Arabidopsis thaliana: one gene and its partner. The protein of the gene in region 2 purifies or fractionates together with the protein of the main gene of each other region. This does not show direct contact. Each region holds a gene or a part of one and is shown on either strand. Other genes may lie near its edges.

Region 1 (6,378 bases), on a different chromosome or scaffold from region 2:
AATTTTTTTTGTAGAGGTTCATCGAATATTTGACCAGATTCTTACTCGAAAAAGAAAATCAAAATTACTCCGTCAAATTCATGGAATAAGAAATGAATACGGTGCCCAAAAAAGATGAACCTACACAAATAAATGATTCAGTGGATTTGTTTTGCTCTGTATAGTGATCAAAGTCGGTCAATTCGCATAATTAATTGGTCAAAGCCTCAATAATGATTTCCATATATGATAACATTGATGGCTCGTTTTTAACACAAAACTGAGGGGATGCATTGGAACATGATTATAACGTCTTATACTGCCGTTATAACGTCTCCGGTATCAAAGACAAGATACTATAACGAAAAGAAAAAAAAATACTAGAAGGAACGTTATATAAATAGCTATGAGAAAATAAAATTATGGGGTGAGAGAGGCTCGAACTCTCGACCTCAGGATCACTCAGTAGCTATGAGACCTACGCGCTAGCCAACTGCGCCACCACCCCAACTGTTACTATTAACACTGTTTTAGTTAATGAAATTCAAGGTAAAATCATGAAACACAAACAAAAGGCAGAACCCTTGACTTTATGAACGTTTGACTTATCCATCGAAATATAGAAATGGCTGCCACCCAAAAAATCTAAAATTTCTAGAAGCAACAACTGATGAAATTCGAGAAGAACAATATTCTTACATATAAAAGATTTAAAGATTATCCCCCTTCACTTAAAAAAAATACTAAACACATGACCTGGTCAAGAACAACACAAGACTCAGGCAAACATTGGTTGTGTGCTTTATTCGAAACTATAATAATATCTGAAGAAAGTGACAAGAAGACCAGAAAAGAGAGAGGTGAGGTGAAAAACGGTTTTGGTGCATGGTCCTCTCTAGCGAGCGTCCTTGGACAAAAGACCTTGCGCTTCAACTTTCCTTGCGTTGCGAAGCTCATCAACTCCATCTCCTCTCTCAAACACAGCTGCTGCACCCATCCCCGTCCCTGCCAGAGTTTACCAAATCAGTAAAACCATCCCTCAGACACATATTTCAGACACCAAATTCACAATGAATTATTCGAGTGAGAAGCATACCAATGCACATTGACACTACTCCAAAACGGCAGTCTTTACCACGGCGTTTCATCTCGTGCAACAATGTAGCAACACAACGCGCTCCTGTGAGAGTTTTAACAAGTATTAGCAACTGTTCATGAGCGTTTTATAATTATATAGACACAATGTAGACATTGATATGCTTTGAAAAGGACGGACTGCGGCAAGATAGAGCTCTTGTAAGTTGGTTAAAGAACCATTAGTGAGGACAGAGTTTATAAAGATATATCTCGGCTGTGGATTTCTTAAGGTTTGGTTGAGAGTTGAGAGATTCTCATTAATTCAAGTCTCTATGGTTTGGTAAATTGGAACAAGCTTAACAGTTTTAGTCCTGTTCTTAACAGATATACCTGTAGCGCCCAAAGGATGGCCTATGGCCATTGCACCTCCGTTGACATTGATTTTCTCTGGGTCAAGTCCCAATTTGTTACGGCAATAAACAAACTGAGATGCAAATGCCTGAACACACAAGGATTCAAACAGATGGTCATCATCAGAATGTGCGGGAAGAGATATGTGATAAGAAGATCATGAAATTGTTTGCTATATACCTCATTGATCTCAAACAAGTCGATGTCATCAAGTTCTAAACCAGCCGCCTTAACTGCAGCAGGAATGGCAACTGCTGGACCGATACCCATGATTGCAGGGTCAACACCAACTGCAGCAAATGTCCTGCAATATGTCCAATAGTGTGCTACTTAGAAAAAGCCAAATACAGAAAGAACAATGTATTTTCCACGTATACTAGCATATCTGTGTAAATGGAAATCACAAGCCTCTGCAGTTTTTTCGGTTTTCAGACTTCCACAGTCGTAGCTTTGTAAGTAATTATTACCCACCTGAATACACCAAGAACGGGAAGTCCTTTTTGCATTGCAACACTTCTCTTCATTAGGAGAACCGCTCCTGCACCATCACTTACTTGGCTGGAATTTCCTGTTTGCGACAGAACAAATGAAGCAATGGATTTAAAATTGTGATAATAAGAACTGTGGTTTCCATAATGAAACAATTGATTCGGGAAAAGTACCAGCAGTAGTGGTGCCATCCTTCTTAAACACTGGCTTCAGCTTCCCAAGAGAAGCAAGAGTTGTGGTTGGTCGGATACCATCATCAACAGAAACTGTAATGGGTTTCTCATCACCAGTCTTCGGGTCAACAAGCTGAAATTTAAAACACACGTTATTGACTAATACTAGAACATGAATGAAGTTCAGTAACTAATCCACCAAGAGAAGTCTTAAATGTTACAGTTATTGTATGAAGGATCTGAAAAATACCTTGGTCTTAACAGGAATGATCTCATCCTTGAATTTACCAGCAGCAGTAGCAGCAGCTGCCTTTCTGTGCGAGTCAACCTAGCAATATGACTCCATAGCTTAGCATAGCGATCAAAGTTATAGGTTATTTAAAATACAACCATACTGAAAAAGTTCAGTTCCCTTACAGCAGCTTGATCTTGCTCCTGCCTTGAGACACCAAAGCGTTGTGCTACATTTTCTGACGTAACACCCATAGGAAGAAGACAATTCTGCGCTTGTGCAAACTTCTTCACCTGAAATAACATAGTCCGTATTATAGTACGTATTAAAATAACAGAGCCAAGTAAGACTCCAGATAAGAGAGAATCAGTACCGCTGGGTTGACTGACCCTTCCCATGCCATTGGATTGGTAGTCATGGACTCCAAACCAGCCCCGATACCTGCATCCATCATATCGTCAGCTCGGTTCTCTATGAAAAAATGTGGCGTAGTTAAAGACGGTTATTCACTAACCAATGTCATAAAATCCCGCTTTAATGGCAGCGGCTACATCAGCAACAGCCTGAAGCCCAGATGAGCACTGTCTATTCACAGTTCTGACAGCCACGGTTTCTGCAAATGAACATAACAGGATGAGCATACAGGAAATAAAAACAAAGACTTTTCACCATTGTATTGTACTGTACATAGAAGAAACATACCAGGGAAACCAGCATAGAACGCAGCCATCCTGCATTCACTGGCTCTCTGAGATCCAGGTGCCAAAACAGTACCCACAACAATGTCACCTACTTCACTTGGGTTTAGATTCGTCTTCTCTATCAATGCCTATGTCAAGGAAGAACTATCTATAAATAGACGTAGAAAGGAAATAAAAACCAACAACAGAATAGAAAAGATAGCGACAGACCCTCAAAACAGGTGCGAGCAAATCATCGGGATATGTATCCTTGAAATTGCCACGTTTGGACTTGCATAGTGGAGTCCTATGTGCCCTGCAATGGATCAATAAGTGTAAGTCTATCAGAAAGAGACGAGAAATCTTCATACGTTGCTGAAAAACCAAATACCAAAAGAGTAAAAGCATAAGAGATGGGACTTACGCGACAATGACAACATCATCTCCATAGAGAGAGGTCCTCTGATATGCAGCACTGTCCCCAGCCAAGCAAGCAGAAGCCTGGGAATTTGGAAAGAACACGTTAAAGAGATCACACGTAGTAATTGAAATCAAGCTTTGACTTTTAAGAAATCATCAGTACATGCAGAGCACGGATAATTCAACCCAATCGAACAAAAATCAAACAACAACAAAAAAAAAAAAGATATCTATCTCAATCCAGTGAACGAAATACAAAAACAAAATCCAAGTCTTGAATTTGATCTCAATCGAGCTGAAACTTAAAATTTTCAGCTCACAGGCACGCCTCGAATCAAATTATAATTCAGCATCAAAATCAAAATCGAAAATTCCATATAATGAATCCAGATCAACAACGATCCATAATCCCCAGACTGCAAACACAAGAGAAGACAACCAAAAGATCGCGATAGATCGAGAGAGAGAGAGTGTGTGGTGATAGAATGCTTACAGATAGAGAAGCCTCGTAATTGTGCGAAGAAGAAGAAGAAGGTCGGAGATGCTCAAGAAGAACGCGTTGTCTCTCGATCGCTTTCTCCATTTTTTCCGGCTGATTAAAGATAAAATTCGGATCTGTTGTTTTTTCTCAGAGAAGGATTTGTTCTACACGAAAACTCACAGTCCTCGGGTTTGTGATCATTTATAAGGTAAGATGACTCACCGCTTTGCCCGTTCCGGGTAAATGATAATCCCAAAATAAGTAAGAATAAAAAATATCTCTTTTTCGTAATATTTCTTTGCTTAAACGACCAAAAAATATCATCTGTGACAGCGATACAAGTTCTTATCCTATAGTTGTAAAATCCAAATCAAACAGTTTTTAGCCTAATGACCTTACTCTAATTATGAATTAAAATGTTCACACTGGTTTGGTGATTGTTAATAGTGTGAAATAATTGATGATGAGAGTCATAGTCATAGATAAGCTGAGAGTGTGATAGAAGAAGATAAGATTAGGCGTGACGTTTGCCCCCGCCCGTTTTGGGCTTTGAAATGCGTGCCGTGTTTTTCATTTCCATCTTCTGGATCTTAATCTTCTTCATATTTACATAATAACCCCAACTATTTGTATTACTTCTATTTACGCCTTAAAGTTGCTATTAATTCTAAAAGTACCCTTCTTGAGACTTGATCGCTATTTTCTTTTTACGTTTTACCAACGTAAAGTTAAAGCCCATATGGTGTGATAGTTTGCAATACTATGGGCTCGGCCGGTTTAAACGAAATAAGAACGGATATTGTATAATAGTGAAAACTACATTTTCAATTAATAATGTTATTATGCGATTGACAAGCAGATGCAATAGTGTTTGAATAAAATTTTTATCAATATGAACTTTACTTAGGCATATATATTACCAATAATGACAATATGGCACTGCAACAATGCACATCTGCGTAAGGTTAGCATGTCAAGATCTCTTACACGCCGTGATACCAAATTTATATCGACTTGCAAATATGGGAGATTAAAGCTCTCTTTACTCAATTTTACTCAATCTTACAAACATTTGTGTGGTACTTTCCGGAAGTTTTCCGACATGTAATATTGAAATTAGATCGTGTAGAGAGTTATCAAATAACAAAAAAACTCGAGAAACTTTGTAGTTTTGTTATGTATCAGACTAGAAATTAACTCTAACTGAATGGAGAGATTAACATTGAAGAGGAAGAAACAAAACTGTACGTGATCAGCTTTACATTGTGCTTGTCTATCTTTACATTGTGATTATTGTAATATCGCCCTAATATTTTCGCATATAGTTGTCCATTTAACCTATTAGAGTGAAACATCTATATATTAATACTTGTCAATTTAATAATCATTGTAAATTAATAAACTTTTCCGGTTCAAAGTTGGACGAATATAATATATAACGTAATTGGATAAAAATGTTATTTGTTTTTCTTTGAATTTGTTTTAATTTTTGTGAAAAAGTCATTTTCAATATTTTTACTACATCTAAAAATTAACACTTATATAAATCAATAAAATATTTTATTCCCCATGTTATTAATTTATAATTTTATTTTACTGTATTAGCTCTTACATGCAACATCATAGACTTCAGTTTTATTTCTAACAAGATTATTTAATCTTAAACATCTATCCAATGTCTAATTTTTGTGAAACAATATAATATCTTATCAACTTTAGTTTTCAATCTTATCTTTTTATCTAATATACTTTGAGTTGGCAAACAAATCCTATGCAAAGAAGAGACGAAATTATTGAAAATGTTAATTTTCTTACTTAACCATACTAAATATCTTTATTCTATCATTTACTATATTCGTTATATTAACATATCTATGTTTTTTGTAAAGACAAAATGTTAACCAATAAATTTTACATTTTTAATAATTTTGTTTCTTCTCTGTATATATATTTTTTCCTGACTCAAAATTAAATGAGATAAAAAGATAATTGAATCTCTTATATATGATTTTAGGGTAAACATTCCCATATCTTATTCTTTTATATTATCTTTTTTTAATAACAAATACACATGTAAACTGTAAAGTATACATTTCTTATCTATATGAATGAAGTATAAATTTATTTAACACATACAAATTTAATAAATCATAAAAAATACCACGTGGAACTGTAATGTATAATGTAATGTGACACAATATACAGTCAAAACATTCCAACTTATACAGATTTATATAGATTCAAGCGGATATGCAAAAAGAAGTAGAAAAAGAATGAATCCTACATTTATTTCATAATTTATTAGTAGTATATATGTACATAAAATCATCTTATTCCATCTTAAAAGGATCCTTTCATAATATTATTCCTAAGTATTTTCCATATGGGTGATAGTAAAGATTGCGTTTCCCATATTTGTTAAATAAATACATATAT
Region 2 (4,666 bases):
CTCTGTCCCCAAAAAGGATTACTGCTAAACCAGGACTGATTAGTTTCTCCATTCTTGAAGTTTCGACTCTGATCTCCTGCATGATACTTAGTTCCACAGCCGTTTGATCAAATACCATCGCCTCATCAGCTGAACAGAAAAGTAAAATCTTAAGAGTTGGATATCTGAAAATACGTAAGCAATTGGATGAAAAGGTTTAGTCTATACAAGAGGAGCGAATGGAGAGAATGTGGCCACGTCCGGGCACAGTGGTATAAGAGGAGCGCATGCGGCCACGTCCGGGCGCAGTGGTGGGAAAGCTTGAGTTGGCTGACGCACCAGCGGGGCAGGAAAGCACCGTTGAGGCGGTTCAAATCGATGAGACGCGAGGTCGTGGAGAAGGAGCAATCGGTTAACATCAACGACGCCATTATTTTACTAGGAAAACAGAACAGTGGTCGTGGCTTCGAGCTCAAGTTAGGGTTTAACAAAAGTAATGTAGAACAAGTGACTGTGTTTTCTTGTTTCAAATTAACCTTCGTTGAAAGGTAGTTATAAATAAAGTATAATGACGAAGAGACCGATGGGTGAGGCTGGGATATATCATAGCTGGGATAAGTTAAAACTAGTTCTGACTCAAAATACCAAGAAGAGACAAACAATGTTGAAGACAATTTATGTGACTTAAAAACTACATGTTTTGTTTCATAGAACAAAACGATAACTTTCTTTAAAGACCAAAGTAAATCATTGGCTTCAAAAAACAGAGTACGATTTGTTTGTTTCCCAAAAGGCCAGCAATCTTCTTTTTAAGTGACGTCACTGGAAGTTGTGAATCCTCTTAGCTGATGTTAAAGTGTTGGATAGAAGCATGGCTATGGTCATTGGTCCTACACCGCCAGGAACAGGTGTGATGGCTGATGCAACTTTGCTAGCCTCCTCGTAGCAAATGTCTCCAACCAATCGATATCCACGCGCAGCACTTGGATCCTGCAATTCATATTATGTACATGTATGAATGTTGCATACTGGTTGATTTGAAACTTATTATATCACTGAATTACGCCATGACCATATGTCAAAAAGAAAATTCCACTCACCTCAACAGGATTAATCCCAACATCGATGAGGACTGCGCCCGGTTTTATCCAGCTTCCTCTGACCATGTTTGGCTGTCCAACAGCTGAGATTATAATATCAGCTTCTCTTGTGATTTCTTCAGGGTTCTTGGTTCTTGAATGGATAATGCTAACGGTTGCATCCTCCCTCTACAAATACAAAACACAACAATAAAGACCAAACATGTAACTAACTTTCGAATGTCACAACCAGAAAAAACGGCATCTTAAAGAAGGTATCATCATCATTACCTGCAGTAAAAGAGCAGCTGGCATACCGACAATGTTACTCCTTCCGATAACAACCGCTCTCTTTCCTTTGATTTCAATGTTGTATCTATGCAACAACTCAATGCATCCTTTTGGAGTACAAGGAACGAATAAGGGTTCTCTTCCACGCATGGCAAGCCGTCCAATATTTAGCGGATGAAATCCGTCAACATCTTTCTCTATACTAACCGCATTCAGTATGTTCTGTTCATCCATATGCTGCAACAACATCCCAAAACACTATTGTAATTCACTGTTTATTTAAGTTCCGAAGAAAGTTATTAGACTTTGTTTACCGATGGCAGAGGCAACTGAACAAGGATTCCATGGACAGAAGGATCATCATTGAATCCTGATACAGATTTCAACACCTCTTCTTCTGATGAATCTTCAGCTAGACGAACTTCGAACGATTTGATTCCAACGGAGTCACAAGCTTTCTTCTTGTTCCTCACATAAGTTGCAGAATCTTTTCTGTCACCAACAAGGATTACTGCTAAACCAGGAATCACACCAATTGATTCCTTCATTCTTGAAACTTCAATTGTGATTTCATCTCTAATCTTTTTTGCCACAGCCTTTCCATCTATTACAATTGCGCCACCCTCTGATTTTGTATCAGCTGTACCAAAAAAAAAAAAAAAAATTTATGATTCCAACATGAGAATAAAGAAACTCAATTTTCCAGGGAAGAACAGTCTAATTGTCTACAAATTTCAATCGATGTCAAGTTCAAATTTGGTGCTCAATTAAGTCAAAAGGTTTAATCATTACCGGAAATGGAAGAAATGGGAGAAGAAGAGGAGCGAATGCAGCAGCCACGGCCAGAAGCAGTGGTCTGTAAACGGAGTTGGCCGACGCATTGACGGAGGAGGAAAGTACCGCTGCTTCGGTTCAAATGGATGAGACGCGACGTCGTGGTGGAGGAGCAATCGGTAAACATCATCGACGCCATTTTTATACAAGGAAAACAGAACAATAGTCTGCTCGTCGTGGCTGAGTTAAAAAGGAAGAAGGTAATGGTGGAGACAGGAAGACTAATGAAGTCTTTTAATTTGTGATCTAGAGCAAAGCAGAGCAGAGAAGAGACGATGAATTGAAGAAGATAACTTCGTCGTCTACGGAGAGTCGGAGAGACTAGGGTTTCTTCTTTTGATATCAACAAGGGTTTAAGTTCATTCAAATCACAAAAGAAACCGGTTTGTTGATTTCACCTGAATTTTCCGGTTTTATTATACCAGTCTTTCGTTTTCTTTTCTTTTTTAATAAATCCAATCGGACCGCTTCATATTTTTAGTAGCTTTTTAATTTGATTAGTCGTCTTAAACTCAGATTAATCATGTAATTAACACTGATCAATATATAAACAATACATGTAAGTTCGTTGACTTACGGTCTATTCTCTATTTGCGGTCTAAAGTACCACACTAGATATATATACCCTTGTGATTTAACTCGAGAGCTCCAACAATCAAAGCTAAATGTACTACAAGTGGTATCAGAGCAAGTCATGTTATTGCGATTGCCAAGATTGTTGAAGGGTGAAGCAAAGGTAGAAAGTACAGACAAATAGTGTCGGATAAATGAGGGATAGATTCACATATTAGACCCAATATGTTGAATACAAATATTATTTGCCTTTGTTTTTCCCCCAGAGGAAAGAAACTAGAGAAATTTCAACACATCATCATCCCATCAAAATTTTGAGAGTTTGTTACTTTTTCTCCGCTAAGATTCTTCAAAATAAGGATTTTGGTTTCTGTACAGTTTTAAGCAAAAGAAGTTGAAATTGTGTGGTCTTACCAGAAGCGAGAAAAAAGGTTAGATAGCGAGTGTGCCTTCAATAATCTGGTTATCGTCAGATGTTTCAGATGGTGATGGTGGTTTTGGTTTGCTCGTACTTCTTGAGAACCCGTAACCTAGAGAGCTTCCACTTGCCTCACATAGCTGTACCATCATAGGATCCATTAAACCGGAGAGTAAGAAGAATTGTAGTTTTTTAAATAGACCAAATATATACCTCAGCTAGTTCAGACAAGTGACGAGATCTGAACTCGTTGATCGTTGTTGCTATTTCTGATGTAGGTAATTTGGCCTGAAAAAGAAGCCGACAAGTTTAACAAATACCCCAAATAACATTGTTGGTGACTTAATGACTACAAGAATTATCTCTTGTACCTGTGCAAGAACAGCAGCTGCTAACTGAAGACTTGGTTCCAGCGTCTCAGGAACAACCTAACGAGTTTTTGTATCGAGATTTTAATCAGTTTACTTTGAAAATGTTGTGCAATGACAGAAGGAGAATAGAAAAGTTGTGGAAGTTATTACAGCGGTAGCGCCGGCTTTTTCAAGATTGAGACCATGATCAACGTCATGTGCACGGACAAAGGTTTTGACATTGGGGAAATATTTGCTAAGAGCCCAGACACACCTGTAATTTGCTCCAGGTGTGTCTAAAGCAATAGCCGCAGCACATGCTCTATCTGCCCCGATTTTGTGGAGTACCTGCACGTATAGGTAAAACAACGTCAATAATTTTGGATGATGTGTGGTTATACTTTTGACTTGTTTCATCAGCTTTCTACTCTTACCTCTCTACTACCAGCGTCTCCAAAATAAACTGGAAGATCTAGGGAACGACCAATTGCTACTCTATCACTGTAAAATAAGAGATTTTTGGTGCGAAATGAGACAAATAAAGAGCTGGTTAGATACATTGAGCAAGACAAGGCAAGCATGTTACATTACCTGCTGACATCGAGGGCAACAAATGGGATAAGTCTTTCAGAAAGAAGCTGAGCGATTATCTGCGTTTAACATTTAGAAAGCAGCGGTCAAAGACGAATTTAATCATATATCACCAAACTATTCTCTAAATCAAACTATCTAAACTTCTAGAGGAGTTTGTTTTCGCAACAAAGTTTATAGATAACGATACCAACCTGCCCAATTCGTCCAAATCCGCAAATAATGATGTGACCCTGTAAATCATCCGTCTGCAAGTAAATTCAGAAAGTAAAGGATCAGTCATTTTTACCCCAAGAATGCATGAGCTTCGGAAGGATATTGAGGTCAATCATGGCTTTATTGTTTTAAATTTACAATTGAAACTAGGAATGGTGATAAATGACTTATTTTAAAGTGTTGTGAAGGAGTACCTCGCTTTCAACTGGTAATAAACTTCGAACATCTTGTAACTCAAATCGAGACGCAATTAATTGGCCGCCAGCAGCTAACCAAGGAGTAAGAGCCATTGATATTCCCACGACGAGAAACAGTAATGAAGATAGCTGCGGAGT

Evidence for each region. Proteins that work in one complex are often made in the same cells at the same time.
Region 1: the proteins of EMB3127 (region 2) and PKT3 fractionate together in Arabidopsis thaliana (co-fractionation; one large-scale study listed by BioGRID). This does not show direct contact.

What each region holds. Positions count from the first base shown.
Region 1 is NC_003071.7:14,046,940-14,053,317, forward strand, and holds PKT3 (peroxisomal 3-ketoacyl-CoA thiolase 3), read right to left. Parts: upstream 4,462-6,378; 5' UTR 4,045-4,461; coding exon 3,955-4,044; intron 3,543-3,954; coding exon 3,466-3,542; intron 3,358-3,465; coding exon 3,273-3,357; intron 3,191-3,272; coding exon 3,064-3,190; intron 2,975-3,063; coding exon 2,876-2,974; intron 2,803-2,875; coding exon 2,735-2,802; intron 2,655-2,734; coding exon 2,547-2,654; intron 2,458-2,546; coding exon 2,380-2,457; intron 2,263-2,379; coding exon 2,130-2,262; intron 2,036-2,129; coding exon 1,939-2,035; intron 1,772-1,938; coding exon 1,648-1,771; intron 1,556-1,647; coding exon 1,447-1,555; intron 1,160-1,446; coding exon 1,076-1,159; intron 985-1,075; coding exon 875-984; 3' UTR 539-874; downstream 1-538. UniProt on the Arabidopsis thaliana protein: Involved in long chain fatty-acid beta-oxidation prior to gluconeogenesis during germination and subsequent seedling growth. Confers sensitivity to 2,4-dichlorophenoxybutiric acid (2,4-DB).
Region 2 is NC_003075.7:258,467-263,132, forward strand, and holds EMB3127 (Amino acid dehydrogenase family protein), read right to left. Parts: upstream 2,824-4,666; 5' UTR 2,323-2,823; coding exon 2,142-2,322; intron 1,990-2,141; coding exon 1,664-1,989; intron 1,587-1,663; coding exon 1,350-1,586; intron 1,248-1,349; coding exon 1,080-1,247; intron 970-1,079; coding exon 799-969; 3' UTR 521-798; downstream 1-520. Other genes in the region: KEA2 (K+ efflux antiporter 2), read right to left, coding at 3,189-3,314, 3,388-3,462, 3,546-3,602, 3,696-3,872, 3,959-4,025, 4,116-4,174, 4,310-4,363, 4,526-4,666. UniProt on the Arabidopsis thaliana protein: Catalyzes the oxidation of 5,10-methylenetetrahydrofolate to 5,10-methenyltetrahydrofolate and then the hydrolysis of 5,10-methenyltetrahydrofolate to 10-formyltetrahydrofolate.